Rhinolophus ferrumequinum: one gene and its partners. The protein of the gene in region 1 interacts with the protein of each later gene in a pairwise test. Links are inferred from orthologs where the notes say so. Each region holds a gene or a part of one and is shown in the gene's direction. Other genes may lie near its edges.

Region 1 (7,175 bases):
GGGCTTCCCTGTTTGAATCGCCAACTTAAACATCTGTTCACTCGTCTGTCTGGTTTCCTCTTTCCTCGTGACTTGTGGGAAGCGTTTATGTCGTGGGTACCGATTACCTGGTGTTAGACGTGGTAAGTGTTTCACCCTTCCCCTCTGTTACCTCCGTCTCTAACGTAGGCAACAGAAGCTCGGCTGCCATTGGATAGTAGTGTGACTTAAATGACACAGTATGTGTAAAGCACTTACAATGACACCCGGCAAGATGAAGCACTCAGACATGTGGCTCATGTCAACTATTATTCAAGGACCCCAAGTAACAGGTGCACAGAATGCCCATCCAGGGCTCTGGGTGCGTAGGGTGCTCCGTGACCACTGGCCTGTGCCATTATGAGCTGGAGCCCAGACACAGGAAGGGTGAGGGCAGTGGGACTCCCATAACAACGTGGAAATGGACTGGACTCGGTGATGACTGCACAAGTGGTGACATCACTCAGGTGACACACAGGGTTGGGTGTCTGAATGTTGGCACCGGGTCTCAGAGAATGTAGGCAATGAGTTGGAGGAACCAGTGTTGAAGTTAGGGTTCCCTTTATAGTCGACTCTCAGCAGAAATACACTGGGCTGGACCCCTGGCCTCCAGCATTGTTTCTTCTTTAATTCTCCTGCCAAACGTGTCTTCTCTGCCCAGCTCTGTGGCCATACGGTTCGTCCTCAAAGCTCCGTGGTGTCGGCTCATTGTTACACCTTGCGGTGGCCCCAACGCCCACTCTAGGTTTGAAACCCCCTTCTCTGGCCCACCTAACTCCCATTTTCTCACCAGCTCCCTCTGCCTTTCTCAGGGATATTTGGTCAGTGCCCCGAGTGTCAGGTCGCCCTGGTATGTAGAACACCTTTATCCTGCGCTTGGCTCACCGAGCGGCTCTCGTCATCATACCTGTTACCTCCCAACTCCTCAACTCCTGCTCAGTGCTTCTCAACAGATCAGAGAGGGCGGTGACAGCTTTTCTTGGCTGTATCCTTTCCAAACATGGCATAGATTATTGAATTCATCAAGTATTGATTGGATCAATTCCATCAGAAATTGCTTTTTTGTTTGGTGTTAAGGTAGGGGTCTGATTTAAGTTTTTCTGTAAGTGTAGCCAATTGTTTTAGCCCATTGATTGAAAGTAATTCCTGTCCCAACTGCTCGGCAGTGCCAGCACCCTCATAAATCAAGTATCTGTATTTCATCTCACTGGTAAATTTGTCTATCCCCATGTCAGTATCAGTCTCAATTACTGTAGTCTCATAAGACATTTTTATTTCTCCTACGACAGTTCCTTTCCATCTCCTCCTCCTCCTTCTAGAATGTGTCAGTTATTGTTTTGTTCTTTCGCATTCATTTCAGAATCAGCTTGTTAAATTTCTTCGAAAAACCCTTTTGGAGTTTTAATGAAAATTTCTTCTGTAGGACAATTTGGGGGAGAAGTGACAGATCTGAGACGTCCTGTCCATGAATACGGTATGTAGTTCTCATTTTATTCAGGTCTCCTTCAATAACGTTTTATAACGTTAACACTTTTGCTCACTTTTTAAGAAGTTTTGTGTCCCTTCTATTCTTTCGTTGCTCTTTTCAATGGTATTTTACAAAACTGAATCCTTTGGTTATTGCTGGTAACTAGATGCATGTGCAGAAGTGTCTCCATTTGCCCTCCCTCCCAGGTCCACGCTCCACCTTTCTCTGCCTCTCTCTGTGCCCCGAGGAGCTGACGTCTACAGGCTGCACCACTGGGCTGTGTTCAGGGGAGACACTGTAGGAGGAGACAGGTCGGAATGCCTCTTCCTCAGACCCCACCTGCAAGCCTGCGGTTTGGCAGGTGGCCTCCTCCCTCTGCATGGCCCACACGTCAGCCCAGGATGCCTTTTCCTGGCTACTGCTGCCTCTCTGTCCTTTTAAGACCAGGAGTGGTAGTGGCTTCCTGAAGCTCAAATTTCCTCCACGCTTCAGTGTCTTGCTTGTTCACTTAACTCTGCCCTTCCCTTATAAACAGTCCGTTTATTAAAATTCCTCCAATTATCTTTCTGAGCATGCCATCTGTTTCTTGCTGGGACCCTGACTGATACAGTAATTGCCACCATAAGTGTCCCCAGAAACCGACTCTCCTAATAGGATTCTAGAATTGGGTTGCTTATATATTTGATGAGCATGTGGATAAAATCCTTGCCAGAGGGAAGTCGAGCCCTGGGGATCTGTGTCATGCAGTGGTATCCCAATCCCTCAAATGATCTCCAGCGGTGGCCTGGGACGTGGCGCATGTGGAGGGCGGACAGATGGGAGGTCAAGAGGCTGAGACACTGAGCTGCTTTGGCAAAATGGTGATGACACAGATTGTGCCGTGGGCTGTTTACTTCAGAAGACTCTGGGAAGTGGACACAGAGGAAAAGGACAATTCAAGCCTTGGGTGTGTCAATGCTGTCCCGTCAGACCACCGGGAACACACCTGTAACTCAACAGGGTGGGACTGTCACTCATTGCAGCAAAGGACAGCACACACCGCAGGGAAGCACAGGGTGACGTGTCAGAGGGCATTAGAAAGGATCTGGGCTTCTGTCAGTGATTATGGGGGAGCTTTGAGCAAGCAGGGTTCTGCTCTGGATCAGGTGCTGTCAGAAGCAGGGGTAGCCTTCTTCATTCTTACCTAGGAGGGAAGACTAGGGGAAGGCTCAAGCTGGAGTTGGTAAGCAGCAACAGCCATACCAGCCAGGAAAGGAGATGTTAGTCTTTTGGCGTGGAGGCTGTCATGTCGTCTGTGTTCACACATGACCAAGGAGCCATCATGGCTTTGTATTGATGCACTGTGGTCACAGTGGCCCCGACTGCTCTGATGTTTTGTGAAACTGCTTATGTTCAACAAAACAGAAGGACCAGCAGAAGGCAGGCCTTTTGCACTTCCTTCTCTGATGGAAAATAAGTCTCTACGGAGGGGAACCTGGAACGAGTGGTGGAAGAAGGAAGCTACGATCGTCAACCTGGGCCTCATCACAAGTACAGAAGATGGAGAAGCTGCAGACATAGCTTCTGTTTTTTCGGTCATTTCCCCTAACAAGGGGCATTGGTAGGTAACGCTTCAGTCCTTGCTTCACTAAAGACTTAGACGACATCACCCATGAAGATAAGGTCGTGCACGGGGCCTTGTTTCTCCTGCCCTGAACACCCATCTTCCCGAGGCCTGTGAAGCACGGCAGCCCACAGTCACCTCTCCTTTAGCTTGACTCCCACTTTTACAAAGTATACATGCAAGTGCTCCTCCCCCCGGAGGATTTTGGGTCAATCAAGGGCTTTCGTTCTCTGGCCCCTCAATCCACAATCCCCCTCACCGGGGAGGCTTGCACATTGGCAGGAGGCTGTCCATCCGTGGCTGGTATCGGGACCCTCCTTCTCTGCTCGTTGATACCAAGGTACAGAATCTCCTCCAAGAGCCTGGCGCTGCCCCTGGCCCCGCTCAGTGGTCTGTCATCGTGACCAGAGGCCCTCGGTGGAGGGAGGGTCACTGGCGCCCCCAGGCCCCCCCTCCCAGCAGCAGGCCCTCCTCCCTGATGACTCCCGGGTAAGGCCCCCCTGTTGTTACGTAACAGCTTTGCTGCCCGACTCACACAGGGGCCGCTACCATGGCACTGGCTTTTGCGAAGAGAAAGAGCAGTGACTGAACGCTCAGTCGGCTCGCAGGACACCGGAGGTCCCACTCAGATCTGTCGGGGTGCAGCTGGAGGTCAAAGGTCTCTCCTCTGCCCACGCCTGGGTGGCACGTCTTGCGGTTTGGTCTCCTGTCCCTGAAAGGCAACTCAGTGTCTTGTTAGCACCAGGACAGGCTCATTTGGGGCTGGTTGCGTTTACTGTCCCTGCGCCCGGGTCCAGCCGAAGGCCCAGGGTGGGGAGGGCCACTGAGGCTTCCCGGCGCCGCCAGGAGACCCGCTCAGCAGACCCCACAGTCCGTGCGGTCGGGGGGCCGCTCAGCCTGCGCACCTGCCGCGGGACCGCCTAGGATGCCCACCGCGCACTCCGGAGCCATTTCGGGCGGCCGCGGCGGGGAGCAACTGCGCAGGCGTCCGCCGGCACGGCGCGTGCGTGCGTGCGCGGCGCCGGAAGGGGCGGGGCTGCGCGGCGCCTGCGCAGTGCGCGGCGCGGGGCGGGGTGGCCGTCAGCTGACTGTGGCGGCGGCGGCGGCGGCCTCGCTGGGGACAACCGTCGGCGTCGCAGGCTCCGGCGGAGGGTCGCCGGCACGTCAGCTCTCGTTGGGCGAGGCGCGGGCCGGCGCAGCACCATGGCGACCACCGTCAGCACGCAGCGCGGGCCGGTGAGACCCCGGGCGGACGGCGGGCGGGCGGGCTCTCCCCTCAGGGCGCGGGCGGCGGTGCGCGTCCGTGGCCTCCGGGGCTCTCGGGGAGGCCCGACCACGGGCTCCGGGCTCCGGGGTGCGGCCCCCCGGTGCAGGAGGCCCTCACCAGGGTGGGCCCCCGGGAGGGAGGAAGCCCCCAGGCCCGGAAGGTCCCTCGGGTGGAGGACGCCCCGCCAGGGCCGGTCCGCCGAACGGAGGCGTCTCCTGCGCCCTGTGGCCTCCCCGGCACAGGAGTCTCCCGAAGTCCTAGTCGGTACCCCGGATGGAAGCGGCCCCCGCGCCCTGGTGGGTCCCGGATGGAGGAGGCTCCTGCGCCAGGGGCGGGTCCCCGGATGGGGACGGACCCTCGCCGGGGCCGGTTCCCCAAATGGAGAGCGCCCCCGCCCCGGGCCTAGACCGTCCCCCACGGAGGAGGCCCCGAGCCACGGACTCCGCCCGCTTCCCCTCCCTCGCGGGGGCAGAGGGAGGCCCCCGGGCCCAGCTGTGTCCCTAAGTGGCCACTTATCGCAGCCTCAGTTCCTTCCTTTGCAAACGAGAGGACGGGAGCTCAGGACCGCGGGCGGCCCTTCCCACCCGCGCTGTCTCCGGGGCTCCCGTCGGTCTCCACGGCCCGCGCGCTGCCCTGGAGAGCCGGTGTAGACGCGCCCTGGGACGGGGCCGCGCGCAGCTCTGGCAGGCGGGGTGGGGGCGCGTTGTCACGCGCCGGGAAGTTTTTATGGGCAGCGGCTCAAAATGTGCAGTAGACAGACGTTCCCTTTACGTGGGGAACGTTGTCCCGTGATGCCACCGTTGCCCTCACTCAGTCGCTCTGCCTGTAAAGCCCAGTCGCCCGCGCCTGCCCCTCGGCCCTAGGACGGGATGTTGACAAACGCTGGTGGCGGTTGTCCTGACTAGAGGAGAATCTTTTCCAGAGAGTATCTTTTCTGAGTGACGAAGACCCAGGTTCTGTTAGAAGTCCTGAGGGCTTTGCGTTGGACGTGACACACACACCGGGTTTCTCTGGAACCGGCCCCCAGGCGGCAGAGAGGTTTCCGGATTCCCTCTGCCTTTGAGCAGAGGGACGGTTCCCCTCTCCCCGTCCTCCCTCCACAGTGACTTACGGCGGGCTGACAGCCAGCCGGTTCTCATTGCTGCACAGCCGGCTGGTCAGAGAAGCAAGGGAACCAAACGAGCCGCTCCCTTCTCCGCGTCCCCCAGGGAGCAGTGGGCGCAGGGGGCCTGACCTGTCCCGTGTCCTCACCCACCTGGTGCGGACCTCGCTGGTGGTGAGTGTGAACGTGCGGTGCGGGGCGCAGTGGCCAGAAGTGCGCTCTCAGTAAGGGTCGGCCCCCCTGTGCGGAGCAGCGGTCGGCGCGGGGACTGCACAGAGCTGGGGCAGCTGGCACCACGGGACAGCAGCTGCGGGGTCGGGCGTTCCCGTCCCGCACGTGGGGCCTGGGCCGTCAGAGGTTCTGTCCCTCTTGCCATGTGTACCGTGCTTCCCGGCCTGTTCTCTGTAACAGGCGAGTGGCCTTATGTCCATGTGTTGGTGTGCAGCGCACATAGACCTGCAGATGTTTTCGGGGTGCTCTCCATGGCCTGTAAACACAGTAACGTTAGATCTGGGCCCGGCTGCTGGGGGCCTCCAGGAAGGTGTCCTCAGGGGCAAGGGTCTTGAGTGCCCCTGGAATACACGTGACTTACTCAGCCAGTGTTGCTGATCATGACATTTGGGACGAGCAGGTGCAGTGCCTGCCAGGGAGGGGGTGGGGGGTCTTACAGTGTGGCATGGGGAACCACTGGCACGCATAAGCAGGCAGACGAGCGCGGCGGGGATGGTCGCCGTCAGCTCTGTGGGTCTTAACTTAGGTATAAACAGTGGCCGGTCCTGGGCCGGGAGTTGGGGTGGGTAAAGTTCTTGGAGGGACCTGAGACAGGAATGAGCAGGACTTGTTAGACGAGGTGGGGTGTGGCGGGCTGCGGAAGGCCAAGAAGGGTCCTGAGGGCAGGGCCTGTGCCACTGTGAGAGAGGGACAGGCGGGGCCGGGCGCTGTTCCACATGGGAGGCCTGGGCTGGCAGATGGGTTTGCTCTGGAGTTTTATCTGCTCACTACAGTGTTACTTTTTTTAACAACATTTTTGCCTGGCACGCATCCTCGCGGAGACCTCCCTGGTAGCCAGGGTGCATGGACTCCATCCTGTCTGGGCCCTGCGTCCCTGTATGCTGGGTGCCGTGCAGGTAGACGGGTCAAGAAGCTGCAGTACCAGCTGGTGCTGGTAAAGGTAGCATTTGGCTGTGCTCACTGCCCTGGGTCCTGGCTGGGCAGCAGTCCTGAGGGAGCCCTGTGCCCTAGGGCCGTGTCCCTGCCTGAACAGGATGGGGTCAGCCCTGGCACAGGCTGCCCAGAGCCTGGACTCACTCACTGGGGCTGGCTCGGAAGCCTGACCTTGCCTCCCACTCCTGCTCCCGCGATAAAGGAGTGACAGGCAGAGTCCGTGGGACTGTGAGTGAGAAAGGGGAGTCACCAGGGAGGGAGGCTGAGGTGGCCCTTGTCCATGCTTGCTGCCCGTGGGGCGCCTGAGGGGTGGGTGAGATGGCGTGTGAGAAAAGGTGCCGCCCACGCTGAGCCGGCCTCACGCCTTCTGTCCTGCTTTCTCCCCGCAGCAGCTGATGGGCTTCTCTGCCTAAGGTTCAGCAGACGTGCTGTTTGTATCTCCAGGGTCACGTTTTCCCTTAATAGTCTGAGGATGGCCCAGCCCTGTGCTGTTTGCCCCACTTTTTAACAATGCTCGTAGTTTTCTAATGACAACCCTTTTCTACCCAGTGTT
Region 2 (7,910 bases), on another chromosome or scaffold:
CTTCTTTGCTCTGTAGCTAATGGAAGTCTAGACCCTCTTCCTTCATGCAGATAAACCAGGAAATAAAAGTCCTTGCTTTGTTTCCAAACATTTGTTGGGAGACATTTCCATTAGGAAATGCAAGATGAAGGTGTGAAATGATTGTGACAGGTTAAAATTTACTGAGCTCTAAAAGCAAGAGTTATGAGAAAACAACCTGGAACTTGAAGGCATTACAAATTATACCATGTGAAGAATAGATGCAGAAAGTAGGAGACTTAATCTGTAAAAGAAAAGTATTGCTAAGGGAACATGATTGCTGGTTGCACATATCTGAAAGATCTCTACATCTTCATGGGAAGATGCATTACATTTTTCATGTAACAAATCCTTACCAGGACATGTTGACTCAATATGTGGGAAGAGTTTAACAATTAGGACAGTCTTAAAATAAAATGGCTTGGCTTAGAAGAAGTTCTTCATCCTTGGCATGACTCAAGTACAATCAAAGGTAATGTCGAGAGAAGAATCAGGCTCTGATCAAATAGTTGGACTAAATTAATGATAACCAGATGGATGTTTAAAAAATGAGATATTTGCCAGTAAACAATAGACAACAATGCTTCATACTCTATTTTATACATAGTGGTTCTTGTCAATAGTTCACTGAAAAATAAAATGAATAATCATCCAAAAGTAAAGTTTGAAAAAATACCTATATAGATATCATTTGATACCTATAAACTTCCAGATAGTATTGGCAGTATTTTTGAGATAATTGTAGTGTCATGAAGGAACTCGATCACTGTCTCATCAGCTGTAACTTTTTTCTTTTGTACACTCAAGTGGATCCATTATATCCTAAATGTCCCCACCACATCATTCAATTATCCATATCTTTACTCATATCCATACCGCTCTTAATAAACATAGGAGTAAATTTTGGAGATTAGTTGAATTGTATGATAGCTTTAAAACATTTCTGTTTTTCAGAAGGAGTATGATGGCACTTTGTGTAAAAGATTTCCAGTTAAAGAAAGTTAGATGTAGCTTGCATGACCTGGCCTGTTGCTAGCTTCCAATGCTTACATCAAACTTAAGAAGATCTACTATGAGTCCCAATTTCTCATACACTTGCTATGATGTGCAAAATCCCATTATTAGAACTTCATTTGTGTTAAGACATTTGTTGGGTACCGGTCTCAACTTATCATTGACCATAATGTTGTGGCTGAACTGGCCTTTGTGATTCTTAGTATGGTGGCAAGAGGCCCTCCGCCATAACCATAATGAAACTTTGAAAAAAAGAGGTTTATCATGTAGAAGTCCTGGAAATTACATGGCACAGCAGGGGTCACACAGCAAGGTCCCTGGGGGAAAGGAAGGGGGAGTGAGGGAGAGAGAGAGAAAGAGAGAGATAAAGAGAAAGAGAAAGAGAGAGAGAGAGAGAGAGAGAGAGAGAGAGAGAGAGAGAGAGAGACCGACCTAGGGTTCTGCTTTTATTAGGGTCCAGGGTGGGGGCCTAGGGTTTCATGGGCTCAGTATTATTAAATTTTGAAAATAAGAATAGGAATTTAAAGTGCAAGAAGAGAAAAAAACAAGCAGCTCAATTGGTCAGTTATGAAATCTCTAAAACAAAGGAATTGGGGGGTGGTTGCCTGCCTTTTTATGTAGTCATGTGGCTGGTAATGTGTTTGTTTGAGATAGCCATCTTTGAAATGGATGCCTTGGCAATCAAAGTATAAGTCAGGCATTTATATTATTACAAAAAAAGAGAGAAAACCCAATTATCAGGGATTATGTTACAATATTTCTCTATAGATTTCCTGTTAAAGGCCAACTAGCCCTTAAGAGATAACACATTATCCCATTGCCAGCCATTAGTACCTTCTCAGGTTCACTTGAGCTCAACAAACTACTGAACATTTGCTTGAGTCCAGGCATGCTGTTAGAAAATTGGGAAACAAAGATGAATCCACTGCCATAACTGCCGCCAAGGAATACCTGTGTAATTTGTTAACAAGTTTATTTATTTTTATTGCTTAGAATCAGAAATAATAGAGAGTATTACTTAATAGGCTGGGTTGTCCTTAGACAGTACTACTTAATAGGCGGAGTTCTAGACACAGAAAGATTGAATCCTAGGTCTTAGTCCTGGCTGGAACAACTATTAGCTTCATGACATTAGGCATTTAACTCAACCTCTCTAAGACAGACTTTCACATTCTGCAAAACAGACATAATAATATCAATCTATGGAAAGACACAATATATACAAAGCACTTGCTACTCATGTACGTAAGCTACTCTTACTGTTGCCCAGTTGCTTTATATTTAAATCATCCAGTAGCAGAGCCTGACACACAGAAGTTACATTAAAAATGTTTGGTAAATGAACAAATATTTAATAAAAATAGGTTACTTGCATTCAACAGTATATAGCTGCCAAGTATCACAAAGTATTCTCCCTAATATCAAGAATAGGCATTTTGATAGCTGTTAAATATTAGCCAATCTCACCATCAACCCTGCATGTGTGAACAACTTAAATACCTTTTTAAAAAAAACTGTTTTAAGTCCCACAGAAAATTTTAATGTAATTGATGGGTTGGGTCTGCATAGCAGCATTTTGCATATTCCCTAGATGATTCTAAAGGGCACACAGGGTTGGGTGCACTGACCTTTATATCATGGAAAAACAAGACATGAAACATTTATTTAATTACTGCCTAGAAAAACAATTTCATTCATTTATGCACATAAAGTTATATCCTCCAAATTCTATGAAAGACCATTTACTCAAAAATAAGCATGTACATTTTTTGAAAGTTTTAAAAAAAGGAGCCTATCTATGGCCAAATGTTGATAAATTGAAAAGGATTACAGGCATTTTAAAGGACACTCTGAAAAAATGATCTACATTTCAGTAGCCTGAGAATATAGATTATACACAGTATATAATGAGGAATTGAACAGGGCCCATTGTGCAAGCATTAAGAATTTTTTGATCGGGAAAGGATGCAATTAAAGTATTATTTTTGTAATAATAATATAGAGACAATGTGTGTTCTGTATTAGAAAGAGAAAAGCCTGAAACAAGGAACTGGTTAGAAAGTCTTGGTTACTAACAATACAAATTAAAAAAAAAAAAAAAAAACCGTGGGGAAAAAAGACATTTAGAAAAAAATTAAATAAGATTTCATGACTAATTAGATAAGACAGACCAAGAGTGGAAAAGAAGAAAAGAGGAATTCAGTGTTTCTAGATCTTTTTTACCAAACGAAAGTGGAAAGAAAATAGGCAAATTATAAGAAGACAACCAATTATTGTTTGTTATGTGGAGTTTTGGTTTCTTTTATTAAGAGGGAAAAAATAAATAAAGAAGACAATTTGGTTATGTCAGTTTTGAAATGCTAAATGTGACAGAAGACCATCCAATTAGAAATGTCAGGTAGACAAAGAAGCAGAACAAAACATTATGTGAGTATTGAAAACTGGAGATAAAGCTATGACAGATTTTCAAGTATATATTGAGCATTCCTCCTGGGCTCGATCATTTTACAGTTGACAGTTGAATTCCTGGAAGTAAAGTCTAGAAAAGTTGAAAAACAATAACAAAAATATCTGTTTTGAATGTCATTTTACATAATAAGACAATCAAAAGTTTTACTTAATCAACTATTCATCAGATGATGATTGAACATATGCTACCCATCAAATATATAATATACAGAGACTAAAAAGGTATCACCTCTAAGAGTTTATTGCGTAGTTTTAGACAGTAGGAAATCATAACATAAGCTGATATACAAAAAAATGGCAGGACTATATGTGCTAGTATTATAGCTATAGAAATGTTTAGGGCAGATTGGAGAGAGAAAATAAACTCATAGTAGAAGTGACACAATGGTGGGGGAGGAACTACAGTAAAATTAGGTGAAAGTCTTCCTGTAGGTATCTGAATGGTGCCTGATAGCAAAGCACAGAGGAAAGACTGTGAGTGGTAGGTCATAATTGTGGCTAAAATCATCATTATGGAAAGGAGTTGACTCACTCTGACAAACGCAACAGAAAAGCAGAATGATGCACATGAAGGGATTCAAATATAATATCTGCAAATCCATCTCTTTTCAATTGATTTGAGTTCTCATAGGTACAAAGGAATTTTCACATTAAAAGTTCTTTGTATTATCTAATTTCAATTTCTGCAGCCTCACTCTAAGCTTTATTTCTATCACAAATTCCTCCTGAAGAAACAAAACAAAGCCTCCAATGGCTACTCTAGAAAAATCTTAAAACCAGCTTTCAGACTTGAAGCCCTGAAAGTCTGAAAGAGAGTGATATGGGGAAGAGGTACAAACCACCACTTAAACTTTGTGTGATATAATTTTAAATATTTATGGTACTCAGTAGTCCTATTTTATGAAGACCAAATGATCTCAGTCCTTCATACAAGCTCTGACAATTAAGTTCACGAACTTGTTGCAACGTCGTTGCTAACCTTTTTTGATATCAGAGGGATTAGTCATTATGAATTTGTACCAACAGGATGGTTAACAAAGTTTACTACTTGGAAATGATGAAAAGGCTACGTGACAAAGTTAGACAACCTGAACTTTTAGCCAACAATTCATGGCTCTTGCATCACGACAATGCACCAGCTCACACGGCACTGTTTGTGAGGGAGTTTTGAGCCAGTAAAGAAATAACTGTATTGGAACTCCCTCCCTACTCACCTGATCTGACCCCCAATGACTTCTTTCTTTACCCGAAGGTAAAGGAAATATTGAAAGGAAGACGTTTTGATGATATTCAGGACATCAAGGGTAATACGAAGACAGCTCTGATGGCCATTCCAGAAAAAGAGTTCCAAAATTGCTTTGAAGGATTGACTAGGTGCTGGCGTCGGTGCATAGCTTCCCAAGGGGAGTACTTCAAAGGTGACCACAGTGATATTCAGCAATGAGGTATGTAGCATTTTTGTAGGATGAGTTCACGAACTTAATTGTCCGACGTATGCAGAAATCAATTTCCCAGACATTGAATTATCTCAATTGTTTCCCTGAGATTACCTACAGACCCTCCAGACATCTCAAATTACAAATCTAGACACAGTAATATGAATACTTAGCATATATTTGTCTAATTTAGAATGACATTTTGCTTATCCCTGGAGAGCTATTCTTTAACTGCAGGAATCTGAGGAGTCAAGAAAATGACAATACACAAAGGACAATTTTTAATGATACCACCTTCAGGCATAATTATAAAATGGGCAAATATCTTCAGTGCCCCCAGACTCATAAACTTGTTCCTCTTTACCCCAATATATGGTCATTCTCTTCCTATTCTATTCTTAGCTAAAACTCGTCTCTCAAAGATACCTTAATATAAGTCAGCTTTTCCAGCTACTTCTCCTGTCTGAGGGTAACCTGCACTTCCATTTCTAACCTTCCGAGATTCTAAGTCCTCAGCACTTATTCAGTAGGTAAATGTTTAAGCATTTAAACAGAGCTGAAAACTCTAAAAAAGCCTGCATTTGAATGGAGTTCAAAAAATTCTAATAAAAATCAAATTGCACTGTTTGGGGTAGAGTTCTGGCATCAGTGAGCGGGTGATAAGCAGAACTCGGATTAAAAAAAAAAATCTGGCCCTTGAAATTGCCAAACCACATAAACAACTGACAAGAATACTGTTTAATCATGCCTTTAAGTGTGTACACAGGTGACTGGCCTCTGGTCTTTCCATTTAAACTTTAGAGAACCAAATATCATCATTGTCCACGAGACACTTTGAACAAGCCACTGGCTTAATTGGGGGTGAGTTCAGTTCTATTGACATTTCCTTGTGCCTTTGTTTCCTTTGGCTTTTCTCTGGCTGGCAAACAACGTGTCTCTGTTCTTGTCTGTAAATGTCTTTATTGATTTCTGTCATCATATTTATTTTCCTTGTACTAAACTTTAATTCCTGGTATATATGCTTCAGGTGACTTTGTCCTTTATTGCCATAAATGACCTTAGTCTATGCCCTTCTAAGTGGAATTCTTACAGAAGCTGAATATACCTCCTAATGTTGACATGGGGCTTGAGGGATTAATTTGTAAGCTTCTGAGCTGGCACTGAATTTCTTCTAGCATTTAGCATCCTGAAAGCTTGCCACATTAAAAAACATCATCGGTAGGTTTTAACTGATTCTCAATGCAGAGATACCACTATGTTGCCTTGCTTTCATATGGTCCTATGTATTGGCATTACTAAATAAATAGTAAGAACCAAACAAATGGCACCTGTACATCACACATTTGATCTCATAATTAGGTTTCAACAGTTATAGCGCTGTTCTGACAGAAGCAATTTGAATACTTTTATTTTTACACCTCCATATTTTACTTACAAAGTACCAGGTATGCATCCACATTTATGATTACCAGTGAGCACCATAACCACAAATCCATCCATTTAATTTGTCCCTTAGCCCTAGTATCTGTAGCCTTTCAGTTATTTGGAATGTCTTTTGTATGGCATGGATCCAGTGTGTTTCGAAAATTTTTAACGTAGCATGGTAAATTACAGTTTATATTTTCTATTAGCAAAAAAGAATTACACTAAAGGAAAAACAAAACACTAAAAAAATATATATCTGATGAAGAGAGCGCCCCCATGTGGTGATGCACAAGCTGATCCTGCATGTGTTGGTAACCGCCTAACCTTTATGGCTGACAGGCAGTTTTATCATGTCATGGGACCCATCATGTGCCACTGAAGGGGTTACCAATTGATTTAACCTTAAAATCTATCTTAGGGCAACATCCTAAGAAACTACATACAATCAGTTGTGACTGTCACTTAAGATAAAATTTTAGCTCCCGTAGTTAACTACAGACTAATTTAGGTAAAACACCCAAAGGTAATCAGATTCACCGGGAACTGGTAAGACTCATGTGTTCAAGTCTCTGACTTTGTATTACATTAATCTTTACATTTTACTAATTCTATGTTAACAATTTTCCAAAAACAAGCAGGATAGGAAGAAACACTTAATCTTTCAACAATACCACATCACCAACAATATATTTTCTCTCTCTTGCTCACGTAAACACACACACACACTCACACACACACACACACACACTCATACACACATCGTGCTTGAGCATTATTTCATTTAGAGATCTCTTGGCCTGTTACCTGTAGCTTATTCTTATCAAGACAATCTAATGATATTTATTCTATCATCACCCCATTTATACACAGAGTCATACAGTTTGTAATGTTGACTGGTTCTATACATAGCTCATGGACACTGAGGATATATATATATATATATATATATTTGTGAATGGGAAATATATATATATATATTTGTGAATGGGAACCCTCAAGTAGTTGGTGATGTTTCAAGAGTGAAATTGTAATTAGAAATCATAAAGAACCGATAGCATCAAGGCTATCATTAGATCAGAGGAGCTCAAAAAATGTGCTGATACATCAATGACAGTTACAGGACTTGAAATTCAAAGGAAGGCTGTGACTGGACACTGAACTGATTACCTGTTATGAAAATTGAGTGCTAGGTGTTGAAATGAATTAAGTGGAAATATTTGCAACGTTAATAATAATGATGGTTACAACTTCTATTTAATGAGTATCCATTATATATCAGACTACAATAAAGTACTTCCTAGAATGTGTCTTAATTCTCACAATAGCCCACAAAGCAGATATTACAAGTCTTATTTTACAGATCAGAAAATGAGGGCTTGGAAAGTTTAGGTAGCTCACTTGAAGTCACATAGGAAATACATCACAAAGCTAGAATGGTGTTATGCCAATGCAGTTTACTGTCTCCCACTGGAAAACAATATGGATGGAAAAATTTTAGAAAAAAGCATTAGTAGCATTATGGGAAAAATACATTTGAGTCATCTGCAT
Region 3 (7,022 bases), on another chromosome or scaffold:
GTGCAGGTTGGGGAGAGAAGCCCTTTCACGTGAAGCTGATAGAGGTGATCCCAAGAGCAGGAAGACAGGGAAGGCTGAGCTTTGAAGTTCATTTCCAGAATCAGGAGTTGCCAAGATTTAATATATTAAAAAATAAGTGGAAATAAAGTCAACATTTGTCTTTGCACATAATGGTTTTAAAAAATAATGGGCAAAATCATTGTATAAAAGAGGGTCAATTTTAAAGATAAATAATATGTCTTTAGATGCACAGGGTCTTGGTTGTTTGGGAAAATCCAAGCTTCAGTCCAATTTCATCCCTAAACAGTATTAAGGCTTATGCCATTTAAGAACTGATGGATTGAGCACTGTCCATAGAGGAAGGAGAGAGATAAAGAACACAGAGGAATCCGGAACTGACTGGAAGGAAAGAGTTGGGTATAACTTCAAAATTTTTTATTTGGGAAATTGTGGTACCATTAGCCCGTTCAAAGACCTTTAAAGATCTTGATGCCCTTGGTGCATCCCAGGCTCATTAAATCAGAATCTCTGAGGGTGGGACTGAAGCATCAGTAGTCTTTACAGCATCCCCTGTGATTCCAATATATCAATAATCACGCCCACCAAAACAAGTCAGGTAGGATATTGAGATCATAGAGGAAGGAGATGAGTATAGTAAGTGTAGCTATGTCGAGGTCAAGGTTCCAACAGGGCATCCAGGAGGGAATTAAGAACTGGAGCTCAAGATTTTGGAGAGCCATGCATGCATTCAATAAGCATCCCTTACGGCCTGTTAAGTGCCTGGATACCAAGTCTAACGAATAGGGTCCTATTTCCTTGAGAGGCTTCTATCTAGGAGGCAGCAAACAGATTGCTAAACAAAGAAGTAGAATAATGCGTTGTGAGTTCTAAGAAAGAAATCTATATGGAGGACAAGAGAGGAGGGCTCAGTTCTCTTGGGAGTCTTCAGAAGAGGTGTCATAAAGAAGGGCCAACAGGCAGGTCCCTGAGGAAAATGGAAAAAGAGGAAAAGTTAGACTGTGGACCCGTGGGGTGGCTTACTTAGGTTTAGCAGGCTAGGGAGTAAAATTAAGCCAGGTGAAGATCATGAGAAGTAGCAGTCAGAAAATAGGGTATAGGGTAGTCATAATATAGGATAGAAAAGTGACGGAGGCAAGAATGGCTCATAGGAGCGACATCACATACTACAGAAAGGGAAAATAAATAAGGCTGAGGAATGACTGATAGATGTGATGATCATATCACTATGAAAATTAATAATGGGGCAGCTGGGGTACAAAGTGGGTGGCATTTGGAACTGGAACCAACGGAAAAAGTAAAGGATAAGGAGAGGGCTAGAGGAAATACTGTGGGGAAAGTTGGGGGAGCACACTGAAATATTAAAAAAGAGAGGAGATGCCTGTAGTGGTAAAAGTTTGGGACTTAGGGTTAAGCCACTGGGTTGCATCCTTCTAGCCTGGAGCTGGAAGGCCTTGGGCTAGTCACTTCCCTTCTTTGGCTGTCATTTGTTTCATCTATAAGATGAAGGGGATAGAGACTATGATTTCTAAGGTCATATCCAGATCTGACAGTCTAAGAAATTTAGTGGTAAGAACAGAGTTAAATGAGAGAATGAAAAAGAGTCTTCACTGTGTCAAGCCTGAGGATGGGTCAACTTTGTCCTGCAGACGGGTACTTGCCTTGTTCAGTCGCCTCGTTTTCAGGTACATGACCTAGAACCCATTTATTGAAAAGAGTGAACTAGTCAAGGGCTCTACCCATGAGAGTTGCATATTATAAAGGGTAAAGTCACAGTTTCTGGAGTCAGACTTTCTTTGGATTTTCTAATCTGTAAAACTAGTTTCATAGAGTTATTACAGGATTAAAGGAGACACTGCATGTAGTGTATTTAGAACATACCTAGCATATAGTTCTAGAACAGAAAATATTAGCATTCTTGAACAAGTACAAAAGGAATAGCAGAACCCTGTCCCAGCAACATATCTGTCTGCCCCTATTCCTATCTTCTTCAGGCAGTCTCACTTTGAATCAAACAGATCTTTTTAAACAATGAGATGTCATGCTCACTGAGTAGATTCACCTACTGGCAATAATAGAGACTTCAGTATTAGGCAGCCATGATTCAAACTCTATCCAAACTATTTATAAGCTTTATTTTTCTTAATCTCAGATTACATATTTGCAAAAATGAGGTGAATGCTACCTGCCTCCAGGATTGTGACGACTACATTTAGATTTCCACTTCCGGCACTTAGTGTATTTTAAATGAAGGTTCTTTTCTTTGCTTCCAACTAGCATTATGACTTACATATAAATAAACGCTTAGTAAGTGTTCTTGGAATTGAAATTGTGGTGAAATTTTGCTCCTGGTATCCAGAAATTGAACCCTTGTTTCTTTCTGGAAGTCTGTCCCTTCTGTCCTCTTAACTTGGCTATGAATTCTACTGTCCCATTGTCAGACCAGATTAACATTGACTGAGTTGCTTTTCACCCATGGGGAGTAAGGGAATCGTGGAGAAAGTGGCAGAGCATGGACAGTGAAGGCTGTGGCCACCACAACACCCTTGCGGGAACCTGGGGAGAGAAAAGCTTCTCCTCAGGCATAGCTGAGATAGAACACAGATAGTACTCTTTAACCTGGTTCTGTTTACCCAGCCATAAGGTCCTAACTACGCTCCCGGGTGTCCTTTCTCCTGTTCTCAGTGCCTCAATCCCAGAACACCAGAAAATAAAAGCCAAAACAACCTCTCACATCAGAAGTATCAGTTTGTTACAAGTCTTTCTGGATGATTGGTTCCTTCGTAATTCTTATTCGCTGATGAAAGTCCACGGACACCAACCAGCAGCCCTAAAAAAACGCTCAAATTGACTTTCTCTTTAACGTTGCTTGATTGATGGGCTTCAGCGAAGACAAAATATTTTGCTAGAGTCTATGACGTGGAATAGAGATTAGGTTGATGATGTCACAAAGAGGTTTTCAACAATGTCAGCAGAGGCTGTCGTCATGACCAAGGAAGTTGATAAATGGCACCTTCTGAAAGAGCTACTCACCCTGGAATAGCAGGCGGAGAGAATAGTTACAGGTAGGACCAACCCTATTATGAGAAATAACATCACAACAAAAATAGTTCATTCTAGGTTTTAGACTCTCAAGTCACTTAGGTCGAGAAAAATTAAAAATGACAGAATTAGAGAAAAAAAAAGTCGCTTAGCCCCTTGACATGCATGGCAATTGGTTTTGACTTCTATTCTAAAATATGTAAGACTCAGGACATAAGTCAGACCAATCCTCTTTGATCTCTCGTCATCATTTCCAAGGCCAAAGAAGGGCGGTGGAACCAGGCCCAAGTTGACAGCAGGAAGCAAGATCAGGAGGCACAGGGGATCCAATACTTAGCGGCGCCATGTGGTCCCTCAGGAACAGGAGAGCGGCAAAGGACGCCGGCTCCTGAGAGGGCCCCCCCCCAAATCCAAATACATTCCCTCTGCCCATCCATCACCTGCAGCTTTAAAGGGCAAGGAGCACACCTCCCCTCCCGGATCTCCCCGCAAAGGTGGGGGTGGAAGTAAATATTTCTAGTTACTCGATTCATTCAGTGGTTAAATATTTATTTTGTGGGTGCCAGACACGGACCTAAGCGGTTTACGTCCCTAATTCTCACAATAATCCTGAGATCTGTGTTATTAATACCATATTTCTTTCTCTACAATGGGGAACAACAGGCGCAGAGAAAAGCAGCAATTTGCCCAGTAGGCGGCGGAATCAGAGCTGAGATCTCTAATTCCCAGGCTGTGGTTCCGGGGCCCCTAGCTCCGCCCGGGCGAGAAGTCCACCTGGGTCCCGAGCTCGCTCCCTGCGCCCCTCCCGCGGGCTCCACCAGGGGGCCGCCGCTCGCTCATCGCACCTGGAGTCGGGAGCGCAGCAGGTGCGCTGGGGTCCCGGAGCCCCGCCCCGCGGCCCCCGCGCCTGGCGCCCTACTCCAGGTGCCGGGCGCCCCGCAGCGGCCGGGCAAGACGCGCAGCCTCCGCCGGGAGGTCGGGAAGAGCTCGGGCGAAGAGGAGGAGCCAGGGACACCGAGCGGGTGGAGTCGGGAGCCCGAGAGCGGTGGAGGCGGATTTCCTGGGCCCGAATCTCTGGGGCTACCATGGCGTTTGGGAAGAGTCACCGGGATCCTTATGCAACCTCCGTGGGCCTCCTCATAGGTAAAGAGGCGCGGGGGAAGACTCCTGGGCAGGCTTTGGACATCGGGGTACCCTTCCCATTTGACTCCCTTGTCGGCCTGAGACGGACGGAGTTGGTCCAAGTTGGAGGAAATCCTTCCCCTCCCCCTGCAACTTTCCTAAGGCATCCGCATTCCACCCGGCCCCTTTGAGACATTTCTTTATGGCTGACCCTTTCTACTATCGCCCTCCTCAAAATCTACTTCCCTTTTAATGCCTCATGGGCAGTGGAACCGAACAGGTGAGCCACGCATGGGATTCAGGTGTGGAGTGTTTGGGCTTCTGCAAGGGGAGGGCATAGTTCTTGGCCAGGGTAAGGTTATAAGTAAAGTGCCCTCACTGGAGAGCACGTTACTGTTATGTCCGATGTACTGAGAAGGAAAAGAAGGGTCAAGGAGGTTAAGTGATGTGACCTCACGGTGAGAGGCAGGACACTTCAAACCGGTTCTCTCTGGCGCCCGGCCCTCACGACCTGAGTTACTTTTTCTGGGTAAACAAAGAGAATGCATATACAGGAAGGGGAAGAAGAGGAGCCATTTGGGGTCACCAGAGGCCTCTCAAAACACTAGGGACCACGCAGGTACCTGCTTAGCTCATTCTCCTGTGGCTGTACTCTGAATACCTAATGCAGAAGCCCGTGACGTTTACCAGCGCCAGCTCCGTCCTTTTTTGTTGTCCTTGATGCCCCCTTTGGGAACCTGGGGTGGCATCAGTGCATATTGATGCCACGCAAAGCATGATAATGTCAGGAACTTAGTGGGGTGAGGAAATTCCGAGAACCTGGTATGGTGAGGAGGCTCAGATTCGAAGCGTTTGGGCTACAGCCCAGTTATCTGCTGTGTGACATGGAACATACCCCTTACCCTGAACCTTAGTTCCCACGTCTTTTATGAAAGGGAGAATAACTCATTGAGGAGGAAATGCTTTCTAAACCGTTGCTGTCTCTATCCCCATTGGGTATTAAAATGAACCCTGAGCAGAAATGGATTCAAACTGCATCTTCACAGGCTGATTAAGTCTTTTTTTTTTTTAATTTTTATTGGGGAATACTGAGGAACAGTGTGTTTTTCCAGGACCCATCAGCTCCAAGTCAAGTCATTTTGTTTTGTTTTTTTTTTTCAGTCTAGTTGTGGAGGGCACAGCTCACTGGCCCACGTGGGAATCCAATCAGCAACATTGATGCTGTGAGCACTGCGCTGTAACCAACTGAGTCAATCGGTGGCCCCATGATTAATCCGCCCCATGATTAATTCTTTAATGTTGCAAACATTTACTGACTGCTAGCTATATGCCTGGAGCTGGATGAAGCAAAGGTCACACCTGGTCTCAACCCTCAGGGAACGTGCAAACTTGTAGGGAAGATGGACACAATTTTGTAGTAACTGTAGTACAGTCCCTTTACAATGCAAGACAAATGTGAAACACCCAAAACTTGTGCAAAGGGAGAAATTAACTGCCAAGGCTTTTGAAGGGTGAATAGGAGTTTACTAGGAAGATGGGAAGGTGGGAGGAAATGCATGGAATGAAGAGCAAGGGCTCTGGCAGAAGGAATAATACTAGTACATACCTAAACGACACAGGTTTGGTTAGCTTTGTCCATTGAATGCCGAATTCAAATAGTTCTTTTTTCTAGATGGGAAGCAGTGTCCCCAACCAAACCTATATTCTCCGTTATCCTTTTTAATGTTCTTTTCATTCCCCCTAGGACCTGGTATTTTCATGCGGAGGAATCTTCTTGTGGGAAAAATGTTAAGCTCATTCAGGTTGAGTGTTCTGCTACCCTTCCCAGATAGCATTTTGTATTCTCAAGGAGGATGTCTGGAGAAGGAAAAATACCTGATTGTTAAATGATGGCGTTGTAGGTACAGGAGCTGCCTGGTGCAGCCAGCTTTGGTTTGTACAGGTGCTGAGGGTGACCTTGCTCAACTGCTAAAGGACACGGTTTCAGGAGTTCTGATCTCTTTTTTTCTCAGCACCTGCCTCCCCCAGGAGAATAAATGATTTTAAAATGTAATCAATAATGTTGTAAAGATGTTGTAGGGTATCCGATGGACACTTGTCTCGTTAGGGAGACCACCTCAGGGAAGATGTGGATGCCTAATTACTGCACTGTACACCTGAAGCTGAAGCTGAACAATAATGAATGTCAACTACAAGTTTATATATATATATATATGTATATTTACAAAAAGCAGAGTACAGCATTAGGAATAGAGACAGTGGAAATATAATGGCTGTGTGCAATGTCAGAGGGATAGTGGATGGGGGAGGGGGTTTAACACTTTGAGGGGTATAAATGATAAACGTCTAACTTTGTTTTGTGCACCTGAAACTAATAAAAAAATAAATAAATAAAAATAAATAAATTCTAAAACTGGCATGAAACAACTTAGATTTGAATGCTAGTTGGACCTTGTACTGGTTATGTAGCCTTGCATACTTTCCTTATCATGTCTGAACTTCTGTTCCATTATCTCCAACAGCAGGTTAAATGAAATTACATAAGATAAAATACTTAGCACTGTGCACTTCACCTTCTGGGTGGCTAGTCAATATGTATCCGTCTGTCTCTGAAAAGCAGGCAGGCAGATGGAGCTTTAGTCAACCTGTCCCCCATGTCCTAGCCTTGCAGCCAGGTGTTGTGCCTGCAGTTTTTATTAATAGGTCACTCATTACTGTCGCTACAACAGAACTGTGAACTTGGGTTCTGATTGATTCCTGAATTACTGAGGATTGCTCAGAGAAAAAAAATCTCTTGCCCTTTGGTAATATAAACTTAATGGTACTTGCTAGCAAACTCC
Region 4 (7,560 bases), on another chromosome or scaffold:
GCAAACAGGCTGCAGCTACTCTTCCTCCGTTCCAGGCAATCATGTCTGTCCTCCCCCCACCCCACCCCACCCCACCCCACACGCTGCTCAGTGTGTAGGTGGATACCAATTCAAGTTGGTTATTCATGTGCTCCCCCTGAGAAATGTGAGCTTGGGGCCGCAGGATGAGAATACCCATCAGAGCTGGCCGCTTGAGATGGAGAGGAACTGGGGGACCGTGGGCTGGTCAGGCACGTGGTTGAGCAGAGAGAGTCAGAGGGGGATGAGGCAGATGGACAGAGAGAAGCAGAGATGGGAACCTGGGTGATTCAGGAACAGAAGACCAAAGGATAGACAGACTGATACAAACAGAGGCTCCCTTCTTCTTGCTGGCTTTTCAGCCCCTAGTGTCCCTAACTTCAGGCTTTGTGAGGGTTTCTGTGGCCCTTTCTGGGAGAGTTTCCTGACTTCTTGCATTAAATCCTCCTTTACTTAAACTAATTCCAGCAGGTTTCTGTTGCTAACGGTCAAAGGGACTTGGCTGAGGTACTGCAGGCAGAGGCGACAGCTGTGGATTTGGTTAGTTCTACTTTGAGGCTGGCACTGGGACGCTGTTCCTGGCTGGACAGAGCCACAGCCCTGGGGACTCAGGGTGCCCACCCTCGCTCTCATCACCAACCCACCTAGCAAGAACATCCAGAAGGGCTGGCCCTACAGGAAGGCACTCTCCTGTCAGCTTACAGATAGCTTCCAGATTCTGCCTCCAGAACCCTCTGGAAACTCAGTCCTCCCTTCTACTTTCCACCCTTGCTTCTCCCCTTCCCGCTGGCTTCACCTTCCACCTTTGTCTGCACGTGTCCCCCATATCCAGGCCTCCCTGAACCTCCTGTCCTCTCTGCCCTGCTAGTCCTGAGGCTGGGCAGCCCCTGCACTCTGTCCGTTAACCACTAAGTGCTTCTTGGAGAGACTCCCGGTGGCTGATGGTGTCCACCACAATCTTGCCACCTGTGTGGACAGAGTCCCAGAGAGCAGTTTCCAGGCTCTCGGCCTCACGTGGACAGGTGCCGGCTCGGGTAGCAGATGGTCATCAGCTATGACTAGTTGGCCGTCAGCTGTAACCAGTTAGCCATTGGCCACTGATATAACTGCTGTGGCTATTCTTGTTAGTTGGCTGGTTGGCAGAGAAGTGGACGGTGGATTGCGGATCATGTGGATCCTACTTCCTGTATCTCGCCCGGCCGCCAGCGAGACTGGGGTGCAGGAGGACCCCTTGTTGGGGTACAGGCGGATGTTTGCTTTTGTGTCTCGACCAGCCACCATCGAGAATATAGTGGTATGACTCCCCTATCTATAGCTCCATGGGTGTTCCTTTTTGGCCTCACCATATCCTGTGTTCTTGTGCAGGGAGCAGGACCAGAGACCCTGCCTGACAGCACCTGGTCTTAGCGCCTGCCACTACCCAGCTGCCTCCCTCCCGCCTCCCCCACCGTCCACGTGAATGCAGCTTATGCAAATATGCATCTTTAATTTCTGGAGTGCTCATGATCAAATGTCCCTGTGCTTTTAGAGCTCACGCACATTTCCTTCTACCCCCAGAGGGGGCACAGCCTCCCCTAAGCCTACTACCTGATCCCTACAACCCCACCCCATGTCCCATCTCCACCTGCACCTTCCACCTTCCCATTCTCAACAATCTGTCAACATGGCTCCATCTCCTTAGGGTGATTGGTCCAGCACGCACCTTCCCCCGCCAAGATGTTTCAAGTCCTTGCCTCTCTACATCTCCCCGCTCTTCTGAAACAAATTTTTCTAAGATTTCCCATAATTTGACATCATGTTGCCTTTAGGGGATTTTAATGTGCTATATGTGGCAGATGTTACCTGCAAAGTATTTGTGCTTTTTCAGAGAAAGGTGCTATATTTTGGGAAATGATTTTTAGTTTTTATTTCAAAATTCAGTTAACTGACTTCTCATCCCTCCCAGATCATCATGGCCTGGCACCTCTGGCAGATCAAGCTTGCTTTCAGTCTAGCCCACAATCGCTGCAACGTGGAACAGCTGTTGTGCACACAAGAGCAGGATTTGATCCTGACTGTGCATCCTTTGGCAACTCACCTCCCCTGTCTAAGTCTTGGATTTCCCATCCATAAAAGATGAACCATTCCTCCCTCCTACATTTGTTTAAGATCATTTATTTAGTCCACATACGTAATGAATAGCTACTACATGTTGTGACTCCAGCAGACAGATCTCCTTACCTCTCTTTCAGACATGAACCAGATAATCATACAAGTATTTAATTACAAACCATGGCAAGTTTGTAAGTGTAGGGAACTGTGACAGCACACATAAGGGGCACCTGGCCTGGCCAGGGGCAACAGGGCTGAGATCTGAAGGGCGAGTAGGAAAGAAGGGAGAGCAAACTGCGCAATGAAGGCCCTGAGGTGGGAGAGAACAAGACATGTTTCACTTTGGCTGAAGTGATGCAAGGTTGGAGAGGACTACAGAAGTTGTCTTATTATCCTAGGATTCCTGGGAAGTTCCTGGAGCTTAATAAGGGAACTGACGATCAGATTTTAATTTTAAGAAACTCATTCTGTCTGTACTACTGAGAATGGCAAGAGTCATGAGATGAGAGATGACCAGGGTGGTGGTAAGATGTGGATCTCTAGGAACTTAATGTATATGCAGGACTAGTCATCCACAGCTTTCGGATAAGAAAGTGGAATCCAGTTAGAACGGTTAGGTAACATGCCCAAGTTTACACATCTAGCATATGGCAGAGAAGGGGAACATGACTCCAGAGCCATTTTCTCAATCATGCCTTAGCTGTACCCAGGGCACTACAGACCACTGTCACAGCTCACGATGTTTCTCATAGCTGTTCTGGGTCAGGGCCAAGGTCTGAAAATCCTTCCCGAGGGGGATTTTTGTCAGTAATTTACCACCCACCCTGAGTTCCTGTTGACTTGCCTGATGACAGTTCAGCTGGTGAAGACCACAGATAGGAGGTGGGGAATGCACCACGGTCCGTGCAGTAGCCTTCTCACGGAGAAACAGATCCAGAATTGTCCTGGAAAGAAACAATCTGGAATCAACTGGATCTGAAAAATATAGCCCCTACTGGCCATGAATTGCGGAGAAGAAAACCAATTGGCCCCTGTGGTTTGTTGAGTGTTTACTGTGTACTAACGTGTTTCCCCGAAAATAAGACCTAGCCAGACAATCAGCTCTTGCGTCGTTTGGAGCAAAACTTAATATAAGACCTAGTATTCTATTCTATTCTATTCTATTCTATAGAATAGAATATATTATATCTAGAATATATTATATCTGCTCTTATATTATATCATATTATATAAGACCAGGTCTTATATTAATTTTTGCTCCAAAAGACGCATTAGAGCTGATGGCCCGGCTAGGTCTCATTTTTGGGGAAACATGGTAAGTGCATCAGCTCTGGAAGCCACATAATCCTAGACAGGAGAATCCTAATGCCCTAATTTCCCAGATAGGAAAACTGAGACCCAGGAGAGGAAGGAAATTGTCCAAAGTCATGCGACAAGCAACTGACAAGACAGACATGGAACTCAGGTATCCATATTCCCAACCAAAGCACTTTAAATGAGACGCAGATGAAGAATAAAAATAAGAGAAATAATCTAATGACAGTTAAGAAGTCGGATATAAGGGTTAAATTCTTGAAGAAGTTATCAGTGGACCTTTCTTTCGGGTACCTTTCTTTCTATGAAAGGGATCAGGCCAGAAGCCTGGGGGATGGAACCCAATAAAAATCTCTTCGAGTCCTGCCCACTGAAGAAATGCTTCCTTAGCATTTCTTTCTCATCCACATGCCTGAAAGCCCAGGACCAGTGTTTTGATTGTCTTAGCGAGGCTACGAAGTGACTAGCAGAAGACCTGTGGGTTCATTTTACAGATGAGAAGGGCGGGGTCGGACTCCTCGGAGAAAAGTCAGAGAAAAGAGTTAAGTCGGGGCGCTGTCTGCCCTTGCTTCAGCTCCTGGGTCTCACCTTTTCAAGAGCAGGTTACCGGGCTGGTTCCGCGCAGCAGACGCTTTGAACGGTTGCTAGGGGAACCAAGAGCCGCCACTCGTTGCTAAGGGGAAGTTAAAAGGTAGACATCCTGGGTGAAAGTTGGGTCACGTGACAACATTTCCGGGTGTGCCAATACTCCTACTACCAACCAGCAGGAGAGAAAACAAATGTTTCTCCAATCAACACTTTCTGTGGGCGGGGATATTCCTAGCCCCGCCTTTTCTCCCGCCTCCTGCTTGAGTGATTGACGCATCTGTTTTCCAATAATAGTAGGGATTCTAGAGGGACCAATATGTAGATGAATCAAAATACACAGACTCTCGTTCGGAGGCGGGCCAAGGGAGGTGCCGCTACGCCTGACGGAGATTCCTTCGACCTAGCTCGCTCCTCCGCCCAATCGGACGCCGTGGGGTAGGTGGAGCTTCGCTGGGGAGGTGTAGGGACCAATCGGAGGTGGATTGGGCAAACGTTGCCCAATAGAGACGCGACAGGGGGCGGGGCCAGAGGCCGGGCGTTCGGCGTTCCTGAGGGTGGGGCCGGGGGTTGAGTGTCAGTCAGGTCGCGAGCGCAACCGGGGACAGCGGAGACCCCGGCGGCTGACAGGGTTCCCGGGCCGCTGCCGTGTTGTCCACAGCCCAAGATGGAGTTCCTCCTGGGGAACCCGTTCAGCACCCCGGTGGGGCAGTGCCTCGGTAAGGCGATGCGAAGGGCGGGCGTCTGGGTGGGCGACGGCGGCGGCTGATGGGGCTGGTGAAGACCACGGGCCTCTGCGGGGCACCGGTGCCACCTCACGGGCGGGCTGGGCATCCTTGTCGTCGGGCCTCTGCCCACGGAAGGGCTGGGCCTGCTCACGAAGCCGGTGCCATCCTGCCAGGCAGCGCCCGAAGGCCCAACTTGGAGTCGGAGATGCTCCGCGCGTCCTTACCCCTCAGGGCCCAACCCCTCCTGGCTCTTTAGAGGTGGTGCCAGCGGCTGGCTAGTCGGCTACCATCTCGCCTCCTGGGAAATGCCACTGCGTGCGCCCTTATTCAACTCGCTGCCACTGCCGTCAGGACCAGTTCCTCCAGACCTTTCTCCCTCCATCCTTGGCCCTCCGTTTCAGTACTAGTAGCGCTCGGACTGGGCACCCTCCCAGGGGAGGCTCCCTGCTGGAAGATTTGCTAATTAGAGCTGCAACTCGGCTAGGTTGTGGGAGGGACCGGGATGGGGGCGGGGTTTCTAGAGGGTGATGATCCTGGCGGGGGCGGGGGGCGCGCGGGGGGAATGGCGTGCCTGCCCTGCCTTGGGGGACAAGGGAGGCCATGTTATTCAAGGATAAGAGCGCTGGACAGGGAATCAGGAAGCCTGGGCCTCCAGTAGGGGCTTCGCCAGTGACTCTCCCTATGACCTTGTGCGAGTCACTGCCCTTTCTGGTTTGACACTTTCCCTGTCTGTCAAATGAGGTGTTTGGAGGTGAGGTATAGAAGTAGGTTCCTCCGAATTCTAAAGTTTTGTATTCCTGGTAATAGTCTCTACTCATGACTGTGGCTTTCCTGCTGTGTGAAATCACCAAAGCTGAAATCTTTTGGTGGCAGTGTAGAGAAAGGGGTACTCGGCAGTACCTGTTAATCCTATAGAGGGGGTCAGGGCACCTGGAAAACGGCAGCAGAAGTGACCAGTATCTTGGGTAAGGAAAGCCCAAGGCCAGGTGAAGGAACACCAGAGTGGCCACCATATGGGATTTCCGCACTAAAATGGCAACTTGCCTCTTCACCCATGGCAGGAGCTTACGCCAAGTGATCAGTCCAGAATGTTGATGAGTTTCTTTTAAAACGGGGTTGGTCCTGGTTGGTGGAAGGACTGGTAGAACGTCTTTTATGAGCAGGGACCTTTGGAGTCCCTATGGGCCTGGCTGGTTTAGGCAGTAATGATTTGTTTATTTCCTGCTCTAGTTAAGAACTTTCAGCTTACTTTGCAGCCTTTAATGGGGCCTGTGAAATTATTGAGACCTCTCCTGTTGGCTAACTGGTATTTGGGAACCTTTCTTTTCTTTCTATTATAAGATCTTTGAGTAGACAGACACTGGGTGCTGAGAGAGTCTTTTCCCACCTTCACAAACTACTGTGTCTCTCTAGAGTCTCACCCATCTTTTTTTCTCACTTCTTTTGCTCGGGTGCTCTTTCACTACAGCCATATTCCTAAAACTCATTTCTCAGTTGGATGTTGAATTCCAACCTGCTATTGGAGGAAGCCAGTAAGCATGGGGAGGATTTTTTCCCCTTCTTTTCTATATCCTTTACAATAGGAAGCTCTACACCTTTGAAATGCCAAGGTAGTTGATGAAGGATAGAAGTTAAAGGGGACTTAAAAATACATAAATATAAGGGATGTAGGGGTGTGTAGTGAGAGCATAGCGCGTGATGCTTCTGCTAGGAAGTCCTGGCCTTTGAATTTTGCCTTGCGCATGTGTTGGCTGTGGGATCCCAGAAAATTGTGTAATGCTTCTGAGCCTTAGTTTGCTGAGAGAGAGAGAGAGAGAGAGAGAGAGAGAGATTGGTTTGTACTCATAGAGTAGTGAGATTTAAGTGAGATGATGGATATAAAATACTTAACATAGTAGAAGCTCGATAAATTGTAGCTGTTGCTGTTAATAACAGAATAATTAAGTTAGGATCGAATTTTCTATCTGGAGAGGATACGTGGGACAACTGGCCTGTCTGCGTCCTGTGAAGCAAAGTACCCTCCTAGGCCCCAGTGTCCACGACACGACCATAAAGAGAATGGAGCCTCCTCATTGCCAGTTAGTCAACTGGCAAGGCCTAGGAGATTTCACAGTTCAGTTCAGTTCTAATGTATATTCTGTACTGTTGTGACAAAGTGTAAAAGTGATTTTCATGACACTTAGCAATGTTAGTACGTTTTTTAGAAGTATGTGCCAGGGGGTTGATGGGAGGGAGGGGAATACAGAAATGAAACAACAAAGCTAATGATTAAAAGCAGCGACTATGGTTTACACAAAGCAATTCTACAGCCGTTCTTTGCTCATTGCAGCTGCTCTGGGAAGACATTTTATTGTCTTCCCACATTAGAAATGAGGAAACTGAGGCTCAGAGGAGTGACGTGACTGCTCAGCTGGTAAGAGAGAGAGCTGGAATTTCATAGCTGTCCTGGTGCTCAAGGGATTTCCGGCAGCAGGAGAGAGGACAGCGCTACATTGCACTAACAGAGGGCTGCACCGTGGTTAGTTAGGTGCTCAGGACTTGTTGGTGCTGGGAGGAGTCGAAAAAGGACTCAGAAGGGCTGGGTGATAGGGCAGGTGTCTTTGAGTCTGAGGGCTGGTCATGACGATGGGTGGGAATTCCAGACACAGAGGAGCAGACCCTGTGCCTGGGGACAGGTGAACGAGGCAGGGAGGGGAGTGTGAGCACATGGAGGCACGACTCGGAGTGGACAGAAGTGATTGCGGGGAACAGTGGCAAGTAGGGTATGAAGCCCTGGGTGGGTGACATCAAAGACCATATTCTTCAGCTAACTTCAGCTTTTAGT

The links.
Region 2: the proteins of TOLLIP (region 1) and ODAM interact in a two-hybrid assay, tested with the Homo sapiens proteins (2 studies listed by BioGRID and IntAct). The two-hybrid records come from large-scale screens. The link is inferred for Rhinolophus ferrumequinum from reciprocal best matches to the Homo sapiens genes TOLLIP and ODAM.
Region 3: the proteins of TOLLIP (region 1) and TOM1L1 interact in binary tests that used the Homo sapiens proteins (3 or more experiments, as listed by UniProt). The link is inferred for Rhinolophus ferrumequinum from reciprocal best matches to the Homo sapiens genes TOLLIP and TOM1L1.
Region 4: the proteins of TOLLIP (region 1) and TOM1L2 interact in binary tests that used the Homo sapiens proteins (3 or more experiments, as listed by UniProt). The link is inferred for Rhinolophus ferrumequinum from reciprocal best matches to the Homo sapiens genes TOLLIP and TOM1L2.

Annotation. Positions count from the first base shown.
Region 1 is NC_046294.1:836,187-843,361, reverse strand, and holds the start of TOLLIP (toll-interacting protein), read left to right. Parts: upstream 1-4,154; 5' UTR 4,155-4,292; coding exon 4,293-4,325; intron 4,326-7,175. UniProt on the Homo sapiens protein: Component of the signaling pathway of IL-1 and Toll-like receptors. Inhibits cell activation by microbial products. Recruits IRAK1 to the IL-1 receptor complex. Inhibits IRAK1 phosphorylation and kinase activity.
Region 2 is NC_046288.1:28,148,248-28,156,157, forward strand, and holds the start of ODAM (odontogenic ameloblast-associated protein), read left to right. Parts: upstream 1-4,907; 5' UTR 4,908-4,946; intron 4,947-5,735; exon of another isoform or gene 5,736-5,798; intron 5,799-7,910. UniProt on the Homo sapiens protein: Tooth-associated epithelia protein that probably plays a role in odontogenesis, the complex process that results in the initiation and generation of the tooth. May be incorporated in the enamel matrix at the end of mineralization process.
Region 3 is NC_046304.1:30,011,053-30,018,074, reverse strand, and holds the start of TOM1L1 (TOM1-like protein 1), read left to right. Parts: upstream 1-4,004; 5' UTR 4,005-4,145; coding exon 4,146-4,203; intron 4,204-6,764; exon of another isoform or gene 6,765-6,986; intron 6,987-7,022. UniProt on the Homo sapiens protein: Probable adapter protein involved in signaling pathways. Interacts with the SH2 and SH3 domains of various signaling proteins when it is phosphorylated. May promote FYN activation, possibly by disrupting intramolecular SH3-dependent interactions.
Region 4 is NC_046304.1:850,390-857,949, forward strand, and holds the start of TOM1L2 (TOM1-like protein 2), read left to right. Parts: upstream 1-4,551; 5' UTR 4,552-4,675; coding exon 4,676-4,727; intron 4,728-7,560. UniProt on the Homo sapiens protein: Acts as a MYO6/Myosin VI adapter protein that targets myosin VI to endocytic structures. May also play a role in recruiting clathrin to endosomes. May regulate growth factor-induced mitogenic signaling.